Rattus norvegicus: one gene and its partner. The protein of the gene in region 2 interacts with the protein of the main gene of each other region in a pairwise test. Links are inferred from orthologs where the notes say so. Each region holds a gene or a part of one and is shown on either strand. Other genes may lie near its edges.

Evidence for each region.
Region 1: the proteins of Snip1 (region 2) and Sf3b1 interact in a two-hybrid assay, tested with the Homo sapiens proteins (2 studies listed by BioGRID and IntAct). The link is inferred for Rattus norvegicus from reciprocal best matches to the Homo sapiens genes SNIP1 and SF3B1.

Annotation. Positions count from the first base shown.
Region 1 is NC_086027.1:63,993,244-64,003,850, forward strand, and holds part of Sf3b1 (splicing factor 3B subunit 1), read right to left. Parts: intron 10,077-10,607; coding exon 9,879-10,076; intron 9,793-9,878; coding exon 9,691-9,792; intron 7,880-9,690; coding exon 7,700-7,879; intron 7,348-7,699; coding exon 7,261-7,347; intron 7,164-7,260; coding exon 6,893-7,163; intron 6,627-6,892; coding exon 6,481-6,626; intron 6,382-6,480; coding exon 6,235-6,381; intron 5,940-6,234; coding exon 5,814-5,939; intron 3,864-5,813; coding exon 3,642-3,863; intron 3,221-3,641; coding exon 3,038-3,220; intron 2,957-3,037; coding exon 2,845-2,956; intron 395-2,844; coding exon 274-394; intron 1-273. UniProt on the Homo sapiens protein: Component of the 17S U2 SnRNP complex of the spliceosome, a large ribonucleoprotein complex that removes introns from transcribed pre-mRNAs.
Region 2 is NC_086023.1:142,607,890-142,619,005, reverse strand, and holds the start of Snip1 (smad nuclear interacting protein 1), read right to left. Parts: upstream 5,979-11,116; 5' UTR 5,946-5,978; coding exon 5,734-5,945; intron 4,579-5,733; coding exon 4,476-4,578; intron 1,444-4,475; coding exon 860-1,443; intron 1-859. Other genes in the region: Dnali1 (axonemal dynein light intermediate polypeptide 1), read left to right, coding at 7,038-7,118, 7,594-7,739, 8,923-9,092. UniProt on the Homo sapiens protein: Required for pre-mRNA splicing as component of the spliceosome. As a component of the minor spliceosome, involved in the splicing of U12-type introns in pre-mRNAs. Down-regulates NF-kappa-B signaling by competing with RELA for CREBBP/EP300 binding.

The sequences.
Region 1 (10,607 bases), on a different chromosome or scaffold from region 2:
CTTTGTTTTACAACTATACTGCGCCTTTAATCCCAACATTCGGGAGGGAGGCAGAGGCTGGTAGCTCTGTTTACAGACAGACTGGTCTATAGAGTGAGATCCAGGACAGCCAAAGATACACAGAGAAACCCTGTTTGGGGAGTCAGGGTAAGGGAGGAAGACACCCACACTGCTATTTCCTATTACCACTTAAAGTGAAATCTTGCTAAATCTAAATACTGTCTATACTTGAGAGCTAAATATGTACTTGGTGTTGCTATGTAATCTTCTTACCTGTCAGCAATACGCCCAACAAGATCAATACAATTCTCTTGTACTTTTTCATGTCTGTTCTTTAAGATGGGGGTGAGTCTAGGCAACAGATCTTTAATTGGTGGTGTCATCTTATGCATACCTATTTGACAGAAATCAAGGAACTATTAAAACCTGAATTGCAGTCTTTCATTTTTCCTTTTACAGTACAATGCAAAAATATGAACTCATAAGCTACCGGTGGATAAAAAAGCTCCAGATTCTAATTGGACTTAGAATTCTTAAAAATATTAACAGCTTCTAGTTACATTTAGAAATCAAAGAAATCGGGTTGGGGATTTAGCTCAGTGGTAGAGCGCTTGCCTAGGAAGCGCAAGGCCCTGGGTTCGGTCCCCAGCTCCGAAAAAAAAAAAAAAAAACCCCAAAAAAAAAAAAAAAAAAAAAAGAAGAAATCAGTAAAGTGATTTTAAAAATGAGGGTTACTCAGTAATAGAAAGATTTTATGAAATGTTATTTGTAAACTTACTTTTAAATATGGGAACAGCCTATGTTGTGGCCAAATATAGCAACAGAAGCCAAAGTTAGATCAGATCAAATCAGTAAGGGTCCCTATACCCTGTAACTGCAAAATTAAACAGACCTCCAGTCTCCCTGAAATGCAGGGCACACCTAGGTGTTATTTATTAGATCTATGAAGAGAGAAAGAGGCAGCTAGTAGGCACTCTTGATCTAACTAGAATTATTTGCTCTGATTCTCCACTGCTTTGCTAGACAAACAATATAGTCTATAATTCTGGCAAATCAGAGAACCACGAGTGAGTAAGACTGTTTGGCAAGTCATTGTCTGTATAAATCTGGGCTATATTGGGGGTTCTATATAAATACAACAGTTCAAAGCTCTATACTGCATAATAGTCCTTATTCCTTTCCCCAAAAGGGGGAAAATGGTGATTATCAGCAGTCAGTTATAATGAACTCTTAGCCTTTTCCACCCCTTTCAGTCCTAAACATAGTTTCAACACTATGTGTAAACACAATTAAACACAGAAATCCTTTTGTTTCCTTCATCATAATTCCTTGAAAACAAAAGTTGTCTCTCCATACCGGAGACTGTCCTGTGTAGATTGATGCCATTAGGCAGGTGAGGGCTGGCACGAGTCAGATCAAGGCCATGATTGGACAGTAAAAGAATAAGATGGGGACAAAGTTTTTATAGGGAGGGAGAGAAGGAGGTAGAGGGAGAATCAAAATGGAGACTGGGAAGGATGACCCAGATCCTGGTAGTCCTCAATTGCCAAGGTAGCTGGGGTAGATTTCTATAGGCAAATTTATCTTATGTAGGTGGGCTGTTCACATCCTCATCAACTGGTTGTAAGTTAATTGTGTGGATGTATTGTACATTGAGTATTTAACATATAAATCTGGTTTTTGGGTTACAGTTTGTTGAGTCTTGATGTTGCCAGGTATCTGGGACCAGAGTTCTGAGCTGGCCAGGGTGACTAGCAATGGGAGTGGAGAGACCGCTGGGGCCAGAAGATAGCTAGGTTAACATGGCGTGCTGCCGCACTGAAGCCAGCCGCCGCTGAGATAAATTAAGGTTAGTTATATGGCCCTACAGTGCAAGAACTAACACCAGGGAGTGACCTCCTGGGTTTGAGAGCACCAGGGGCCCAGCATGGAGCAATGACGCTCAGGAACCGGTTGTGCCCCTTTTCTAATAATACTGCACAACGCAACAGTCCTTTGTGTTTTTAATTACAGATAAAAGACAAGACAGATAACTCTTTTTAACCAAGTATGGTTTAAAAGTATGAGTTCTTTGAACTCATAGTAAACAAAAAAAAAAAAACAAAAACAAAAACAAAAAAAACAAAAAAACTCAACAACCAGTCAAAAGACCTAAACATAGGAGAGTAGATAAAGAAAATTTCTAGGGGTTGGGGATTTAGCTCAGTAGTAGAGCGCTTGCCTAGGAAGTGCAAGGCCCTGGGTTCGTCCCCAGCTCCGAAAAAAAGGACCAAAAAAAAAAAAAAAAAAAAATTTCTAAAACTGCACCCTCAGGACTGCGCCTTCCCTTATAGAAAATCCTAGATTATTTTTTAGCTGATGTACTAGTTCTATTAGGGCCTTCTCTCCCATTAACTCAAAACATTTTGGGCTATAACTATTTCTGTACTTTAAATTTCTGTACTAAATTTCGCCTTTAACATTTCTTTTTTTTTTTTTAAAGATTTATTTATTTTATGTACAGCATTCTGCCTGCATATGTGACTACAGGCCAGAAGAGAGCACCTGATCTCATTACAAATGGTTGTGAGCCACCATGTGGTTGCTGGGAATTGAACTCATGACCTCTGGAAGAGCAGTCAGTGCTCTTAACCACTGAGCCATCTCTCCAGCCCTCCTTTAACATTTCTAGGTAAACTATAAATAGACAATAATGAGTGAGATTTTTGTGACATTCTGACAATCCTAAAGTGCTCAAGAAAAGAAGATTAAAAAACAAACTCCTAAATACAACTTTATATTTTGTTTTCAAAACACAAAGAAAATTAAAAGGCCAAACCCTCACATGGCTAGCAAATTCCATACCTATTACATTTACAATAGCCTTCAGTGCTCCAAGAATGCTGCCCAATACTTCAGGGTACTCTTCACCCAGATACTCATACAGCACCACACCCAAGTGCCCCATCAGTTTTTCCTAAATAAAAGAAACATTAAAGATGTTACTTTTCCATTAAGCCACTTGTTCAAAAAAGATTCATCTAGTAGAAAAGATTACCTCTTGACAAGTCTTCATGACAACAGCAGTTCGAGAAATCAAGTCAGCTGCTTGTTGCCTAACTTTTGCTGATTTATTATTCAAACGCCATAAAACTGTACCACAGATCTGAGGCAAGTATGGTTTGACTCGTTTGCCAAGAGCATTGACTACTGTGCCAAAGCCATTCAGCATTACTGAATCCTAAAAGAGAACAGTTAAGTTATATTTAGAATAACAAAAACAAAAATCACTAAAAATATAGAATTTAGTTTTAACCAAAAGTTCATTGTTAAATAACATCTAACCTTTTCCAACCACCCAAACATCCCAATTGTTTTTAAATCAAACCAAAAAAATCAAAGGTAAAAAGAACATTTGTTAAACTGAGGAAAATTGGTCATTAAAATGTCTTTTAAGGGCTATCTGCTGTAAAAAGTAGGTTTTCTACATATATGAAAGTCAATCAAAATGCCACAATAATTAAGTTTGTTAGGGTGATGTCAGCTGGGAAAGTGCCTTCTTCCAAGCCTGATGCCCATTCCCCAGGAAACACGTAGTGCAAGGAGACAACTGACCCCCAAATCTCTCATTTTCACCCACACATGTGGTTGGCTGCCCTTACCTCCGTAGTCTGTTCTTGGAAAGCATAGAGAATGCCATCGATAAGCTGTTCCTCAAGTTTATGGTCAATATCCGCTGCACCTAGATTGCCCATAATTTTCTCAATGGTTTCCATCACCATTTTCCGGTACTGCTCAGCCTCATCCTTCAGATCGTCAACAATCCTAGATATGATCTCTGCCGCGCCCACTTTGTTTGCCAACTCCACAGTTGTATCGACTAACTAAAAGACAAAACAAAACCCTTCAAATCATTACTTTTCCAAGGAAATAAAGCTTACTAAGCTTTCAGTATGAGAGCACCTAGATATGCTGGTTCATGCCTATGACCCCGACTCTCAAAAGACTGAAGCAGATGTTTCACATTCAATGCCAGTCTGGATGGAGATTAGATATCAAGGTCCAGGCCAGCTCAAAACTTAAGATTCTATCTCCAAAACAAAACAATTCAAACTATGCTTGTTTCAGCTAGCTAAAGCTTCAATTTACCAGATAAAACCATCGACTTACAGTTTAGTACTGCTGAGATGGGAGGGTGAGGTAGAGAGACGAAGATTTGAGACCAGCTTATGCTACAAAGTAAAATTTTGTCAAAAAAAAAAAAAAAAAGGAAAGAAAGAAACAAACAAACAAGCAAACAGGGCTGTAGAGAGGGGTCAAACCTTTGAGGTAAAAGGCACTTGCCAACAAATCTGATAACCCCCTGCTCTCTGCTCTCTAACCCTCTTCACACATGCATGCCCCAGGGCATATATACAGACCAAGTAAATGAGTGTAGTTTAAACATAATATAAACATATACACAGGTTGGGCTCAACAAAAGGCTCAGCAGTTAGAGAACTGGGGGTGGAGGTTGGGTTCTTCCCAGAGGACCCAAGCCACATGGTGGCTTCTAACTATAACTCCAAAACCAGATCTGATGACCTAGCCTCTGCAGGCATGACACACACAAAATGGTACACAGATACACATTAAGCAAAACACCAATACACATAAAAACTAAAAACATAAAAGTTTCAAATGTACTAATTAATCAAAATTTTACATTAAATGTATGCTTTAAAAAGGGGGGTTGGGGAGTTGGGGATTTAGCTCAGTGGTAGAGCGCTTGCCTAGCAAGCGCAAGGCCCTGGGTTCAGTTCCCAGCTCCGGAAAAAAAGAAAAGAAAAAGAAAAAAGAAAAAAAAAAAAAAGAGGGGGAGGGGTTGGGGGAGAGATGCGGCTGGAAAGATGGCTCAGTGGTTAAGAGTACTGTTGTCAGGGGCTGGGGATTTACTCAGTGGTAAAGCGCTTGCCTAGGAAGCGCAAGGCCCTGGGTTCGGTCCCCAGCCGTCGGTCCCCAGCTCTTGGGGGGGGGGAGGGGGGGAGAGTACTGTTGTCGGGGCTGGGGATTTAGCTCAGTGGTACAGCGCTTACCTAGGAAGCGCAAGGCCCTGGGTTCGGTCCCCAGCTCCGGAAAAAAAAGAACCAAAAAAAAAAAAAAAAAAAAGAGTACTGTTGTCTGCTCTTCCAGAGGTCCTGAGTTCAGTTCCCAGCAACCACATGGTGGCTCACAACCATCTGTAATAGGATTCGATGCCCTCCTCTGGTGTGTCTGAAAACAGTGTACTTATATATAAAATAATAAATCTTAAAAAAAAAAAGGACAACAAACAAAGATTTTAAGAGGCCAGGTGTGGCCAGGCACACCTTTAATCCCAGGACATGGAAGGGAGCAGCAGATGGAACTGTCAGTTTGAGTTCTACAGTGGGATTTCTAGTAGAGAAATCTTTGTGAGACCCTATCTCAGACAAAAGACAAATCAAACAGAAAGAATGGGCTTAAAATTAAAAATTCCATCTCTGGTCACAGTAAAGTATATGTAAGTATAAATTTTAAGATAGTCAAAAGCAGGGCTGGAGAGATGGCTCAGCGGTTAAGAGCACTGACTGCTCTTCCAGAAGTTCAGAGTTCAAATCCCAGCAACCACATGGTGGCTCACGTAATAAGATCGGATTCCCTCTCCTGGTGTGTCTGAAGACAGTTACAGTGTACTCATATATAATAAATAAGTAAATCTTTTAAAAAAAAGATAGTCAAAAGCAAATTACAGTATGTAATATGCATTTTAAGCAGGTAAAGAAATTGTCAAAAAGACAATCAAAAGAGAATCAAATTATAATACTAAAGGTCACCTGTCGGTAATTTCTTCTATCCAAAGCCATTCTGTGCTGCCAGAAGTGTTTAAAGAAAGGTGGAAGAATCTCTGTCTTAATGTAGTTTGCCTCTACACCATCAGTTCCACAACACTGTTTCACCACCTAAAAGATTAAAAAAGAAATCAAATGCAGCACTGACAAACACAACTGCTGCTCACCCACGAGACCTACACAATCAGACTCAGTTATGAGTAGGTACCCAGACCATTTTCACAATGCAATCCAAATGTTAGCAATGTATTGAACCATGTATCCAAACTGCAATAACTTTTATAGTGTGAAACATAGATTTGTTTTGTTTTGTTTTGTTTTGTTATAAAGATCTCTTTGAACTTCCTAACACATGCACAGTGTGCTAACAAACATGTGCCCACAAACTGAACTACTAATTCCTTACCTTCAAAACAATTTTCTTCATTTCTTCATCAGGAGACTGGAATTCTCGAATAAGGATTAGCATCACTTCTCTAGTATAGTAGTTGGCATATTCTGCATCCATAAGAGGAATAAGATACCCAATAGCCTTCAAGAAAGCAGCCAGACCCTATTTAAAAGTAAAATATATACATATACACATATCAGTACATTAATTTTGGGTTATCTTAATGACTAGCAACAGAAACAGATCTAATGCGCAGATTACCTTTCCTCTATGTTGGCGAATACCCTTCCATAGGGGCTTGAGCACAGAATCAAAAGACTCAATACCATAAGGAGTTGCTGCCTCAGCCAAAGCAGCAATGGCCAGAGCACTGATGGTCCGAACTTTCTGCTGCTCATCCACGAGACCTATACAATCAGACGGTTATGAATAGGTACCCAGACCATTTTCACAATGCAATCCAAATGTTAGCAATGTATGGAACCATGTATCCAAACTGCAGTAATTTATTTTGCAGTACATATAATTTAGACAAAGGCAATTTGTTAACAGAAAATATTACAAACCCCATTTCTAAATATAATGTTTGTGTGAGGAAAGCCTTTCATTTATTTTACATATACACCTGCCCCTATCAGGACAGCTGATCTATAAACGACACATCACCACTTACCATGCTCAATGATTTCAACTAAACTTCTGAGATGTGGCAAGATAGCACAGCCCATGAGAATGGCTATCTGTTGTACAATCTTAATACCAGTGTGCCTCGCTTGCCAAGACTTCTTGCTTTTACACACAGCTTTCAAGAAAGGCAATAAAGAAGGAATGCCCAGAGCAGAGGCTACAACAGCAAAAGCTCTAGCTGTTGTGTTTCGGACATATTCATCCATGTTATCTATATCAGGTCTCATGGTAGAAATCATAGTAGCCAGACCAGCAGCCTAAAAGGAAAAGTTACAACAGCAGCTTTAGTTAGTACCATTAATCCTCAACCCATGGAAAGACAAACTTCCTTTTCTAGGAATTTAATGTGAATACCTTTGCCAAATTAGAAATAATTTCTCGGCCTTCCACTCTAGCATAGTAATCTTCATCAATCAACAGTGGCTCGATAACCACAAGAATCTGAATGAAGGAAAAAGAAAGAATTACATTTCCACATCAATTTATCAAAGACATTTGTTAATGGAGAAATAGATTAAAGAGTTTTAATTCTCTGGCAGTAGTGACACATTCCTTTAATCTGCACTCAGGAGGCAGAGGCAGGTGGAACTGAGTTCAAAAGGGCAACCTGGACTACAGAACAAGTTCTAGGTCAGCCAGGGCTACACACACACACACACACACACACACACACACACACACACACACACACACACACACACACACGAGAATAACAACTTCCATATTCCACACAGTGCAAAATAGAACCAGAAAAATAAAAGTGAAACCATTCAACACTAGAGAACAAACCAACCTTGTGCACATATGGCCGCACCAAGTCATCAAGTTTATACAATATTCTGTCAATAACTTTCACAAGTAAATGTCGCTCTTGATCCTCAAGTGTAGGGGACATCAATAGAGGCAGAATCTGGTTAAACAGTGGTCCAGCTCCAAATTCTCGAGCTTTATCAGTAATCTGACGTAAGGCAGCCTGAGGAAAATCAATGGAAAAGAAAGTTATTTTTTATGAGCAAACACACATTCCAAAGTGGCAAATTTCACCAGGAATAATAATATAATTTGCACTTTTGTAGACAATTTACATACAGTCGTCTGAATTCATTTCTGTAAACTTTTAATATTCAAACTCTAATGGTCTAAGTTCAACACTATCAGCTCATTTAAAGGGGGCAATTAATTTAGTGGCAGTTGAGGTCTGAGGATAACGGTGCTTATCGCAAGACTAACGACTCCACTTCAACCCTGAGATCCAGACAATGAAAGGAGAGAAACAACTTCCAAAAGCCGTCCTCTGAAGCATCCTGGAGCACGACCCTACCTGTCCCCTTCACATATCTATGCACCATGCACACACACATGCATGTGTGTAAAAAATAGATGAGCATAAAAGAAAAAGGGGTAACTTAGAGCACTAGCAAGATTCCTTCCTCAGGGTGTAAAGGGTAATGGCAGGCCACCAAGCCTAATGATCATTTGAGTTCAATCCTAAGAACCCACACAATAGAAAGAAAGAACTGATTCCTACAAGTTATCCTGACCTTCTACCTGTGCTCCATGTGCACATGCCCATAAATAAGATTTTTTTTAAAGATTTATTCATTTATTAAATATAAGTACACTGTAGCTGTCTTCAGACACACCAGAAGAGGGCATCGGATCTCTTTACAGATGGTTGTGAGCCACCATGTAACCACATGGAATTGGGAATTGAACTCAGGACCTCTGGAAGAGTAGTCGGGTGCTCTTAACCACTGAGCCATCTCTCCAGCCCAAGATTTTTTTTTAAATAAAGAAAAGGATAATTTAGTAGAGCTATGGAGCTATCTATACAAGCTTAAACCATATGCCTTAGTTCTGCCTGAACAACCTTCTTCTATGTTCAAGCCACATTTGGTTGTTACAAGTCATAATTTCCACTAATTACCTCTAAGTTCTAAACACTTTAAAGCTGTCAAGGACAAAAAGAATTAGCCATCTCATATCCTTATCAGAACAAAAAACTCCTTTGATTAGAAGTTAAATTCACTGAGCTTGGAGCATGAGTGTGTAATCCCAACCAGTACTCCAGGATAAGAGGCTCCAAAGCTCAGTCCTGCCTGAACAAGCTAAGATCACGCTAAGCAACTTATCAGAGAGCATATACAAAGTCAAAAGGGAAGCAGAGCAGAGTGTCATGTCTTATTCTGCTAATTCCACTACCTGGGTAACTAGGCAAAAAGAATGGCTATCAGTCTAAATTCAGCCTGGGCTACGAGTTTCAGGCCAGCCTGGGATAGTTTAACCAACAAAAATAATGAATATAACAAATCAAACACTAGGACTAGGAATCAGATGTGGTACACACCCCCAATTTTATTAAATAAAGGTGATGCATTATCTTTAATCTGAGCACTTGGGAAGCAGAGGCAGGTGGACCTCTGCAGGTTCTAGGCCAACCTTGTCTACCTAGTAAATCACAGAACAACCAGGACTGTGTAGAGACCCTGTCTAAAAAAATAAAAAGCTGGGCTGGGGATTTAGCTCAGTGGTAGAGCGCTTACCTAGGAAGCGCAAGGCCCTGGGTTCGGTCCCCAGCTCCAAAAAAAATAAATAAATAAAAATAAAAAATAAAAAGCTGGGAGGTGGTGGTGCACACCTTTAATCCCAGCACTCAGGAGGCAGAGGCAGAGGCAGAGGCAGGCAAATCTCTGTAAGTTCGAGGCCAGCCTGCTCTACACAAAATGAGTTCCAAGATAGCCAGCGGCTACCCTGTCCTGATAAAAAAAAAATAATAGATCTTACCTTTCTCATTGGAGGTGTACCATTCTTAATTTTTAAAAGCAACTTCATTATTTTTCTTTCTTTTTGCTCTTCTGGACTAAGTGTTGACTCATCTACATCAACCTACAATAAAATTTAAAATACATCAAATTCATGATTTATAACTCCCAAACAACAAGCAATACTTCAGTTTTTCTATCACCACTTACCAATAGTTTGTCAAAGTACTGAATGTCATCAGGTTTTAGAAATGGAAGATTCCCAGATGGCTGGTCGTTGACACTTTTCATAGTTCTGTCTTCAGTTTGCATGTGAAAACCAGTCATACCGCCCAAAGGTGTGGGAGTTGCTGTCAGCTTTCGAGCTGGAGTTCGAATAGGAACATAGCCAGCTGGAGGGGGAAGGACCTAAGATAGGGATAGGCATGTTAGTAGGACTGCCTTGGCTTTATATACTCAAAGACAACAGTGAGCAGTATTTGCACATATATAGATTTTACAATTTATTAGCTAGCATATTTACCTCAAGAAAACAAATCCTACTATTCGATGTTAACTAAAAGTTAAGGTATTTATAGAAAATATTATTTGCTAGATAAAATTTAAGTGGAAAAGAAGGAAATACATGAAACACTCTTTAAAAAATTCTCGGGGTTGGGGATTTAGCTCAGTGGTAGAGCACTTGCATAGCAAGTGCAAGGCCCTGGGTTTGGTCCCCAGCTCCGAAAAAAAAGAAATTCTCATGCTTGAAATATCAACATGTTGTCAAGCCATCATGTCAAACTAACAAAACTGGAAAATTGTAAAACTCAATTCAGTGATTTCCCAAAAGGCACTGTTAAGAACAAAAATCTACAATTACTCATTTAAATGGAAATGAACATGTGGTTTATGAAATAGATTAAAAAGATCATATATATTATCATTTACATAAACACT
Region 2 (11,116 bases):
AACTCTAGGACATCACAGGGAAGTGCTGCGCTGATAAGGAAGTTTAGAGCACTTTACATAACAAGGAGAAAAGGCAAAGCTGACTGTGGCTGGTAGATGGCGATGGAGGGCCACAGAGGTCCCAGTGCAGAACTCGAGGCTTCTTGCTATTTACGCAAAGACTTTCTCCAACACTGCACATGATTTCAGCACCAGCCCGAATGAAGGGAAAACAGAATTAGGAACTGAGAGCCAAGGGCTAGATGTGGACAGAGTTTTGCTCTAAGATTGCTTTCTGTACTGAGCTGCAGTTTTCTCTCCTGTTAGATAAGGATGTTACCACTGAACCGCTTTCCTCACAGGTTGAGTATCAAATGGTAAAGATGCATTCCCAAACAGCAGATTCTGCTAGCATTTATCTGGCATCCAGACTCTGGCCTTTACTTATTTCTATTTGGTCCTCAGAAAGCCCTGGGGGCAGGTGGAGACAGGACAGGACCGCAGCAGGAGTCTTTTTAATTTCTCTTTCTTCCTATCATTTATTTGTTTGTTTAGAGATGGGGTCATGGAACATAACCCACACCTAGAGGAGGATATACACCACCAATCCTGCTTAGCCTCCCGAGAGCCAGGATTACAGGTCTACACTGCCACACAATGGTAGGCTAATATCTGGATTTCTGACATCACACTCAAGCCGCTCATACAAATGTCCGGAGATCACCCACAGGTTGTTAAGACTTACAGTACTCCTTCAGTCCAGCTCACTGGACCAGGGGTAATGGGTTCAGCAGCATTTCCACACAGCCAGTCAGCCTTAGGAAAGCTAAGTGAGATGTTCACCCATCTCCCTTTCCAGTCCTCCCTCTGGTCTACCTACCGGTACTGGAAGACTGCATGTTGCTTTGAGCAAGAGGGATGGTCGATAGGAATGTCCGCGATGCGGCGATGTCTCCCCAGCAGGTACGCACTCTGCCGATGGATGTACATGACTGGAAGCACCTCATCATTTTTAAAGGGGTAGAGACGCCACCGTTTTTTGGGGATGCGGGCTTCTGGGGGCTCACTGTATTTAATGACCACACCCCGGAAGGTATTAGTGTCCTCAAGAAGTGCCCCAGAAAGTTCAAAGCTTGGTTTTTCTTTAACAGGCACCTCTTTGTTCTTGTTACCAGCAGGGCGAGGGATCACCTCCTGAGCCTCAGCGCCAGCACTCTCATTCTGCTGGCGGTGCTCCCGGCGCCTGGCATTATTAAAGTCCCTCTCTTCTTCCTGGGCCTGCAGGATCTGGCTGTCTCTATCCCGACCCTGCCCACTGACAGGCCTCTCATCAGAGCTCCTCCTTTGGCGGGCATGGCCCCGGTGCCGATCTCGCTCGCTGTTCCGTGCTCTCCTGTGCTCCTGTTCTGATAACTCCCGGTGCTGCCTATCCTCTCGTCCTCTCCGTGGATGGTCCTCCCGTTCCTGAAATTCAGATGGGATTCAGTAAGGGAAAGATAGCATCCCTTTCTCTGTGAACAAGCTGCAGGAACTGGAGAGATAGTTCAGCAATTAAGAGCACTGACTGCTCTTCCAGAGGACCCATGTTTACTTCCCAACACCCACAAAGCTGTTCACAACCATCTACAACTACAGTTCCAAGAGAATCCAATGCCCTCTTGTGGTAAGTGTGGGCACTACATTATGTGGTGTACAGACATGCATATGCTAAACAATTTCAAACAACAACAGCACATCTGTGGCCTGGATTCAGAACAAATTCCTATCCACACAAGGCTATCAGTGTGGTTCTTTCCCCTGAAGGGCCTTTAGACTTCATATTCCATACTCTTCCTCAAACCCACATCCAGACCCTACCACAAGGAGAAATACCTCTCTCAATCACCTGCAGGCAAACTCACAGGGTAGCAGGTATAGAAAACAGAACAGTCACATGTAAGATATATAAAGGGAAAAGTTAACTTCCTCACAGGCCAAAAGGAGATTGAAATAATCTCAAAAGGTTCAACTTCAGCAATTACAGAAATGATTCAAACATCTATGGATAAACCTAAGAAACACGAACACTTCAAGAAACCTACAAGAAAGTACTACTTGGCAGTTTCCAAATTTCTAACAAAATGGAGGCACATACTGAAAATCAACGTCGCACAAACAGCAATACACAGTCAGTAGATCAATGAGCACAGTGGCGCACACCTTTAATCCCAGTACTCAGGAGGCGGAGGCAGAGCTCTTTGAGTTTGAGGCCAGCCTTGTGTACAGAGTTAGCCAGGGCTACACAGAGACCTTGTTTTGTAAAACAGCAGCAATAGATGGATAAGAAGTCAGTCAGTAAGGTGACAGCTCCAAGTGCAAAGCAGTTTCCAGAAGAAGCCAACACTTAGCCTGACTCTGAAGGGGAGCTTCTTCTAATAACCACAGTACCAATGCTAACAGAAGTAGGAATTCTCTCAGATTAGCAATTCCTGTCAAGAGAGAAGGGACTGCACACCTCTAATCCCAGCCCTCAGGAGTCAGAGGTGGGTGGGTCTCTAGAAGTTAAGAGAATGAGAATGAGACCCTGTCTCCAAAGGGACACACAGGCTTGCATGCACTCCTCTGGTGGAGTTCAGTTGATGGTACACCTTTAATATCAGCACTCAGGAGACTGAGGCAGGAGAATCATCAAGAGTTCTAGGCCTGCCTGTGCTACCAAGCAAGTTTCAGGCTAACTGGGCCTAATTAGCAGGAGATACCCTGTCTCAACTACAAAATCATGCTTTTCCCCCCTGGTTTATTAAGCAAGTCATCAGGATTCAGACATTTTGTAGCACGTGTCAGAATTTTCTTCCTTTTAAGGCTAATATTCCATCAATATGCATACACACATAATGGTAATGGGACTAGGATGCGGGGCTGGAAACAAGCACTTACTCTAAATTTTATCCCCAGCCCTTTTTACTTTTTTTTTTTTTTTTTTTTCCGGAGCTGGGGACCAAACCCAGGGCCTTGCGCTTGCTAGGCAAGAGCTCTACCACTGAGCTAAATCCCCAACCCCTGCCCTTTTTACTTTTGAGAAAGCTTCTTTGTAATATTTTTTTTAAAGATTCATTTTTATATTTACTTTATGTATATGAGCACGAGTACACTGTAGCTGTCTTCAGACACGCCAGAAGGAGGATTCGGATCCCATTACAGATGGTTGTGAGCCACCATGTGGTTGCTGGGAATTGAACTCAGACCTCTGGAAGAGCAGTCAGTGCTCTTAACCCTGAGCCATCTCTCCAGCCTCCCTCAGTAATCTTTTAAAACCAGTATTGACCCCAGCTCCGGAAAAAAAAAAAAAAAAAAAAAAAAAAAACAACAGTATTGAACTTGTGATCTTCTTGCCTCAGTGCAGAATTATATGCACACACCACCACACCTGCTTCTTGTGAGACGTTACTAGGGGAACTGGAAGTCAACTCTGCAGTTAAAAGCACTTTCTCTCCTTCCAGAAGAGCTGGGTCAGTTCCTAGCACCTAAGGTGGCTTGCAGCCAATCTTAACTCAAGTTCTAGAGAATCTGGTACCCTTTTCTGGACCTGTCTGGTATGGGCACCAGACACACACACAGTACGTACACATACGTGTGGGCAGGGAAAGCACTCATACACATGCAAAAAATTTATTTTTTAAAAGATCTGTCTCTGTCACACACATGCACACACACAAATTCTAACATTTACATAGATATATAGACAAGGGGAAAAAAAAGAGGGTAGTGTGGAGAGATGGTTCACTAGTCAAGAGCACTGACTGCTTTTTCCAGAGGACCTGGGTTCAATTCCTAGCACCCACATGGCAGCTCACTCTAGTTCTAGGGCTTCTGAAACCCTCACACCAATGCAGCAAAGAGGGCATTCAGTTTCGAGACTTACTATGTAAATGCGGCAATCAAGTCTGCATGCGATTGGCCAGATAGACATATACCTGAGTTTCAATGTGGAAGTAAAATAATCCAATGGAGAAAACCAATGTCCTTTGAAAAAATGGTACTGCAGCACATGGGCACTCGCAGGCCCAACCATCTGTGACCATCTGTGCTGGTTTAAACAGCACCACAGACAGTCTTCAAACCTAAAGACAGGTTGCATCCAGGAACTGAGAGAGAAGCGGCTGGGCAGGGGGAAAGGAAGAATAAAGGCGGAGAACGAGTCACTGAAGAACATCGGAGGCATCCTGATGGCAGTAAATGTGTCCTGACCAAGACACTGTCCACGGGTGTGTGAGAAGTTACCGCTGGGAGAAATGTGGACATGTTTCCCACTCTGTATTATTTCTGAATCAAATCAACCATTGCTTCCAAATGCTAAGATTTCAGGAAAGACAGCCCCAAATACATATCTGGTTTTTAGAAAAGCTCACTGCAGGGACAATGAAACATGTCTACACACCATGGCTGCAACCTCTTCAGGTCCGGCAACAGCTCTGGACTTGAGTTTCCCATCCAAGGTTCCTGCCCACTCAACTCACCTGCTTCACTTTGACCGTGGAGTAGTGGGGACTCCGGCTTCTCTTAGTCCGAGGAGACTTGCTTCTTCTGCCGGAGGACTTGCTTTTCTTTTTGGCTGGGGACCTTTTCAGAGCATGATACACAGGATTTTTACCTCAATGGCCCTTCCCCCACATAAGTTAGCTTCCAGTATGAGGCTCACCTCCTAAACACAGCACACGTGTGGACTCTGTAGCCACGGCAGGCCTTTACCTTCAATAAACACTTCTCCCAGCCACATACACAACTGCCTGCTAAGCCTCCTCACTTAGACAACCTAATGAACCCCAAAGCCTTAGAAACCTTTCTTTCCCAGTCTGTCATCCTAATTGGCACTACTATCCAGGAAGTCAATCTAGCCTGTTTTTTTCCCTCACATATTTCCTTCTCTAACAACCACATCCAACCCCTTAGCAGGTCTAAGGGCCCCGCCCTGTCCTCCATCCCACATCATTTCTACCAGCCTACAATGCTGCTCCATCACTCAATTCCAGATATGCTGCCTGTTTCATTTTTGGTTTTTTTATTGTTGCTGTTGTTGTTCAACCTTTAAAACAAACAGAATTCCAATTCAAGTTCTGTGCATATATTTCTCTCTCTCTCTCTCTCTCTCTCTCTCTCTCTCTCTCTCTGTGTGTGTGTGTGTGTGTGTGTGTGTGTGTGTGTGTGTGTGTGTGTCTGTGTGTGTGTACAAGCTCAGGATCCTCCTAACTTATGGTCTCCATTGCTGTGTTACAAAGCATGCCCACCACACTGGGTTCTTCCTGGATTCTTCAAAAGAGAATGGATCAATCATATCGGTCTCAGCTTAAAGATCACCTCTGTAGAAGTCCTCACTTCTTTCTACCCAACCTCTCGCTACCATATTACAGTTTTAATTTGTCTTTAACACTAACTGAAATTATCTGTTATTTTCCTTAGGGTTAGAGCATGCCCAATTTCGCCAAGTTGTAAAAGCATCTCTCTTCTTTGCCTTGTGACCCAGTACCTTAATTGATCGTTAAGCCACACTACGCACTCAGTAAATCGATGCTTTATGGAGGCATCGGCGAATGAGTGCCGAGAAGAAGTCGCCAAGACCCACCGTGAAATACTCTTTGTAGGTAGAGTGGAAAAGACATTCCCACCGTCCGCTCGTGGGCAGGCGGGGGAATCTCATTTCAACTCAAAAGGTGCTTTGCACTCCCGAGTCGCTCGCACCACCCGGTCCCCGCGCCATCCCGTCCGCGGCCTGCTTACCGGCTCGCTCCCCGGGCTCGGCTCCCGCGGTGACCAGCCGAGCCCGACTCGGCGGCGGGCGGGGGCGGGCTAGCGGCTGGAGCGTCAGGTCGGCGGTGTGCGACGGGTTCGGGGCTTAGACGTTCCTGCTTCACTACTACGGTCGCCAAAGCGTCGCCTGACCGGTGTCGCCGCCGGCTGCTTCGCTCCCGCTCGCTCTTCCCCGCTTTCATCCTGCGGCCCGGCCGAGAGTCACTTGCACAGTCCGTTGAGCCACTTGAGCCAAAGGAAGTGACGGACCGCTTTGCACTTCCGCTTCCGGGCAGCACGCTATCCCAGAAGCCCTCACGGTGTCGGGCCCCCCTGGTGGGCGGGGCCCAGTGCTTGAGTTCACACCCTGGGAATCCCCGGGCTAGTGGCACTGGGGTCCTGGCTGCTGGAGAGGTGTGGCTGGAATACTGAAAAGTTACGACCAGCCTCCGATCGCAGTAAATTCGAGGCCAGCCTAGGCAATTTAGTGAGACTCTGTCTCAAATTTTGGAAAAGTTGCAGCTCGTGTAGCGCAAAGCCCTGGATTCATCCTCAGCACTGCCAAATACAAATCAGTTAGAAGGGGAGTGAAGGCTGAGACAGAGTGAGCGTTTACCTCGCGTGTACGAAGCCCTGGATTAACCCCCAGGACTTCAAAAAGTGACAATTTTTTTTTCTCGAGACAGGGTTTCTGTTTAATCCTGTCTGTCCTAGAACTCACTCTGTAACCAGGCTGACCTTGAATTAACAGAGATCTGCCTGCCTCTGGCTCCCGAATGCTGTCATTAAAGGTGTATGGTACCATCACCCAGCTTTAAAACAAAAAAGAAAAAATCTTATGTGGGAAAGCTAATCCAGCTCTGTTCGTTGCGCGTTCTTAGTAGTTATGAAACACAGACACGTACTCAACACTGTGAAATTCTTTTTTGTTTCTTGAGATAGTGTCTCTATATAGCCTTGGCTGTCCTGGAACTCACAGAGATCCGCCAGCCTCTGGCTTCCAAGTGCCAATCGTCGCCAAATACTATAAATGACTTTCGTTTCAAGCAAAGGTGGTCTGTCCATTTCATCACATCCCGAATTAGACCTAACGCTAGGGCTCCAATCTTGTTTACCAAGAAGTTTAGTGCTGGTGGAGAAAGCACAGTAGGACAAAACTTGCACGCGGCCGGGCACCGCCTTCCTCCGAAGCCCCGCCCCGTCCATGGGGCAAGGAGCGGAGGGGTTTCCATGGTGATCGCAAACAAGGCTCCACCCGGAGGGACCGCTACGGAGTTGCAACCCCTACAGCCACCATGATACCCCCCGCAGACTCTCTGCTCAAATATGACACCCCGGTGTTGGTGAGCCGGAATACAGAAAAACGGAGCCCCAAGGTATGAACATGTCTCAGGAAATGCGAGATCCTACAAAATCCCGTGGGGAAAGACATCCCAGGTTTGAGGATCTCTGGAATTTCAGGAGACAGATTGCTAGGGCTGACAGCCAAGGGAACTTGGACAAGGATGGAGGTTGGGAGAAGACTACAAGAAGCCTAACTGTGACCCTAGAGGACAAATTTAAGATGAGAAAGAAGTCACATGGAAAAGATGAGGCTTGTGGTAGTGAGGTCCAAGAACAGGTCTGGTTGTGACTTACCTATGTCTACACAGTCAGAGCAGAGGCCTTACCACCATTCTAGAAACACCAGTTCAAATACAGGGACAGAGCCAGACATATCCCTCGTGGTCTTCTGCGCTCCTGTTTATTTAGAGACCACAGATGAGGGAAATAGGCCGGAAATGGGGAAAGCTCGACAAGAGACTGAGGCAAATCTGGAGGGACTGGACTGACTCACCTGTTTCTTCTTAGGCTCGGCCACTGAAAGTCACAGTTCAGCAGCCTGGACCCTCTGGTGCAGGCCCACAACCACCCAAGGCCAAGCTGCCCTCAACTTCCTGTGTCCCAGATCCTACCAAACAAGCAGAAGAAATCTTGAATGCCATCCTGCCTCCAAGGTAGAGAGAGAGGGATGACTGGGAGAAGGTTTAAGCTCTTGGCCCCAGAACATAGGTGTCTCCCTGTGTTTTACCTTGGATTTCCCCTAAGCTTTCTGGAGTTCATGGAGTCTCATATGGCTGGATGCTCATAGCCAGGCAGGCACCCTCTAAAACCATGCCCTCCACGTTCTGAGCACTCTCGTGACTTTAGATGTCTGCTTTCACAGTTGGGTCTTCTTAGCTCAGACCTGTTCCTCCTAAACCCCCTTCCCGATACTCTGTTTCTTTGGTATCTCCATCAAGATTCCTCATAGAGAGTTTAATCCCAGCACTCTGCAAGACACAGGAGGATTGCCTCAAAGTCAAGGCCAGCCTGGACTACAGAAGGAGTACTAGACTGGCCAGTGCTACATAACAAAGTGTGTCTCAAAAGCCCGTAAATGTTCAATAAGGCTAGGCCCAGTGAGCTCACCTTTAATACCAGAACCCAGGAGGCAGAGGCAGGAAGAGTTTGAAGCTAACCTGGGCTACACAGCCTCGCTAGAACTCTCAGAAACCTCCGCCTAATGGGCTTATTTATGTCCACAACAAAAAAGCTTTCTCTTGGATTAAAAGAACCAGAGAACCTGTGAACTTCTCCAGAGATGGAGGCCGAGAGAGAGAGGTGTCACGTATGAGTGGATTCTCTCCCACCAACATAGAAGCTTCTCCCTCTCTTGCCATTCTGCCTGCAAGCCCGTCATTGCAGAACTCGGCTGTTCCTCCAGCACAGAATTCATCATGGGCAGCCATTGCAAGTGCAGCACTTTAAGAACCTCCATACTCCCAACATACACAAATGCTTCCTAGTGGCTTGCACGAGGTTTATGGTGTTCTGTGTCTTCACCATAAGCCAGTGTAGGGGGGTTTCCACCACATTCTCCATTCAAATCAAGCAGCATGACCACACATCTGTCCTCAACATGCTAGGCAGGTATGACCTGGAGCAGAGGGTTGTAGTCTCGTGGAGAATAGAGAGTGCCCATCTGCCCAACAGTAAGGTATGTGTCCTGTGGAGGCTGCATAGTGGACGTGGCTCAGGAAAGAGAGGGAGGCAGAAGTGACAGGATGGCTATGCTGCCCACCCCCACTCCCTGCTCCTGCCCAGGCAGAGTTCCAAGGGCCCTCTGCTCAGGTCTGGTGGCTTGTATCTGTGTCACAGGGAGTGGGTAGAAGACACACAGCTATGGATCCAGCAGGTGTCCAGCACACCCAGCACCAGAATGGATGTGGTGCATCTCCAGGAGCAGCTGGACCTGAAGCTGCAGCAGAGGCAGGCCAGGGAGACGGGCATCTGCCCTGTGCGCAGGGAACTCTACTCCCAGTGTTTTGGTGAGTAGCCTTGGTGGTGTGTTTGCCACACACTCTCTACCTCCTTCTAGCCAAAAGCCAAGCCCTGAGTATTCCAAATGATCCCCACCCCCCATTCAGAAATCATCCCTTCTCCTTCTGCCTGATTTCCCTACAACTGCTAAGTCTACTCCCTTCCATTCCTAGCCTAACCTCTCCACCTCAGCCACTCATCCATCTTTCGTGGTCACTGGGGTGCCTGATCCCTCACGGGGTTTGGTTCTTATTTAGATTTAGATTTATTTGGGTGTGGGTGTGCATGTGCACACAGGCATGTTTTCATGAGGGCCCATGTGCATGGCATGAGTGTGGAGATCAGAAGACACCTTGCAAGAATTGATTCTGGGGGTTGGGGATTTAGCTCAGTGGTAGAGCGCTTGCCTAGCAAGTGCAAGACCCTGGGTTCGGTCCCCAGCTCCGGAAAAAAAAGAAAAGAAAAGAGAAGAAAAGAAAAAAAAAGAATTGATTCTGTCCTTCTACCAGGCTGATTCTAGGGAATGGCTCAGGCCATCAGGCCTGTCTTTACCTACTGAACCATCTCACTGTCCCCTCCCCTTGATGGGTATTTGGAGTAAGGTAAGAACTTCCACTTTAGCCAGATATGGTGGCATATGCCTTTAATACAGGCCCTCAGGAAGTAAAGGCAACAGATCTCTCTGGCTTGAGGTCAAGCTGATCTACATAGTGAGTTCCAAGTTAGCCAAGTCTACCTCTAAAAAACAACTTTTAACTTTGAGTCTTTTTTTTTCAAAGATTTCTGTAATAAGTCTATGCTAATTTTGTAAAGACAGGGTCTCAATATGTAGCCCTGGCTGGCTTGGCCTCACAGAGCTCTGCCTGCCTCTGCCTCCTGAGTGCTAGGGTTAAAATAAAGGTGTGTCATTGCTCCTGGCATAACACTTTTAAAAACAGATTTATTTATTTTATGTCTGTGAATGCTCTATCTGCATGTACACTTAAAAAAAAAAAACAAACTCCGCTCAGCCCATATTCCAGAACAATGCTGCTGTCATTTGTACTTGGATGATGTGAGACTTGAAGACGTGCCTGATGTGCCCACTGAATGCTGATATCAATGGCTACCCTCTGCTCCGTCACCCTAATGCTATGGGCTCCCAACTGCAAACTCTCCCAACCTCTCAGGCAGATTCAGATTCAGCACACTGGCTTTAGCCTGCTAAGTGTGAGTGTGGCTTGCCCTCCAATTTGGAGACTTATAAAGGGAGAGAAGCAAGTTCTTGACCCTGCTGCTCTTAGTCCCAAACCAGTCTAGCAAAGAGGAGCCGATCCCCTCTCCCCTCCTTCCCCACAGACAGGGTTTCTCTGTGTAGCCCTGTAGACCAGGCTGGCCTGGAACTCAGAGATCCGACTGCCTCTGCCTCCAGAGTGCTAGAATTAAAGGCATGCGCCACCACTGCCCAACTTAACAGCAGCATTTTTAAACACCACCGTTTGAGAATGCTAGTTCATTCTATATCTGCTTTGTGCCTGAACATGGAAGCGAGGGGGACCAATTGCCACAAACACACCTGACGCTCTAGTCCCTCTCTCCATGCCAAGCTCACTGATATGCTTCTTCCTTTTCTTTCTTTCTTTCTTTTTTTTTTTTTCCCGGAGCTGGGGACTGAACCCAGGGCCTTGCGCTTGCTAGGCAAGCGCTCTACCACTGAGCTAAATCCCCAACCCCGACATGCTTCTTCCAAGAGGAGTGGCTGTGCGGCCTTTTCTTTGGATCGTGGAAAGCACCCTGTCATAGGGCCTTCTTGTAAACCATATATTTGGTTTTTGGGTCTGCTGTGTGCATATGTGCATATGTGCATATGTGCACATGTGCATGTGTGCATGTGTGTATAGTCATGTTCGAACGTGTGTGCACAAGTCAATGTCAAACCTCTTTATCATTCTCTGCTTCTTCTTTCAAGATAAAAAAAATTAACAAAACAAAACAAACAAAAAAAACCAGCCTTATGTGTGTGGGTGTTTTTACCTGTGTATGACATCTGTGC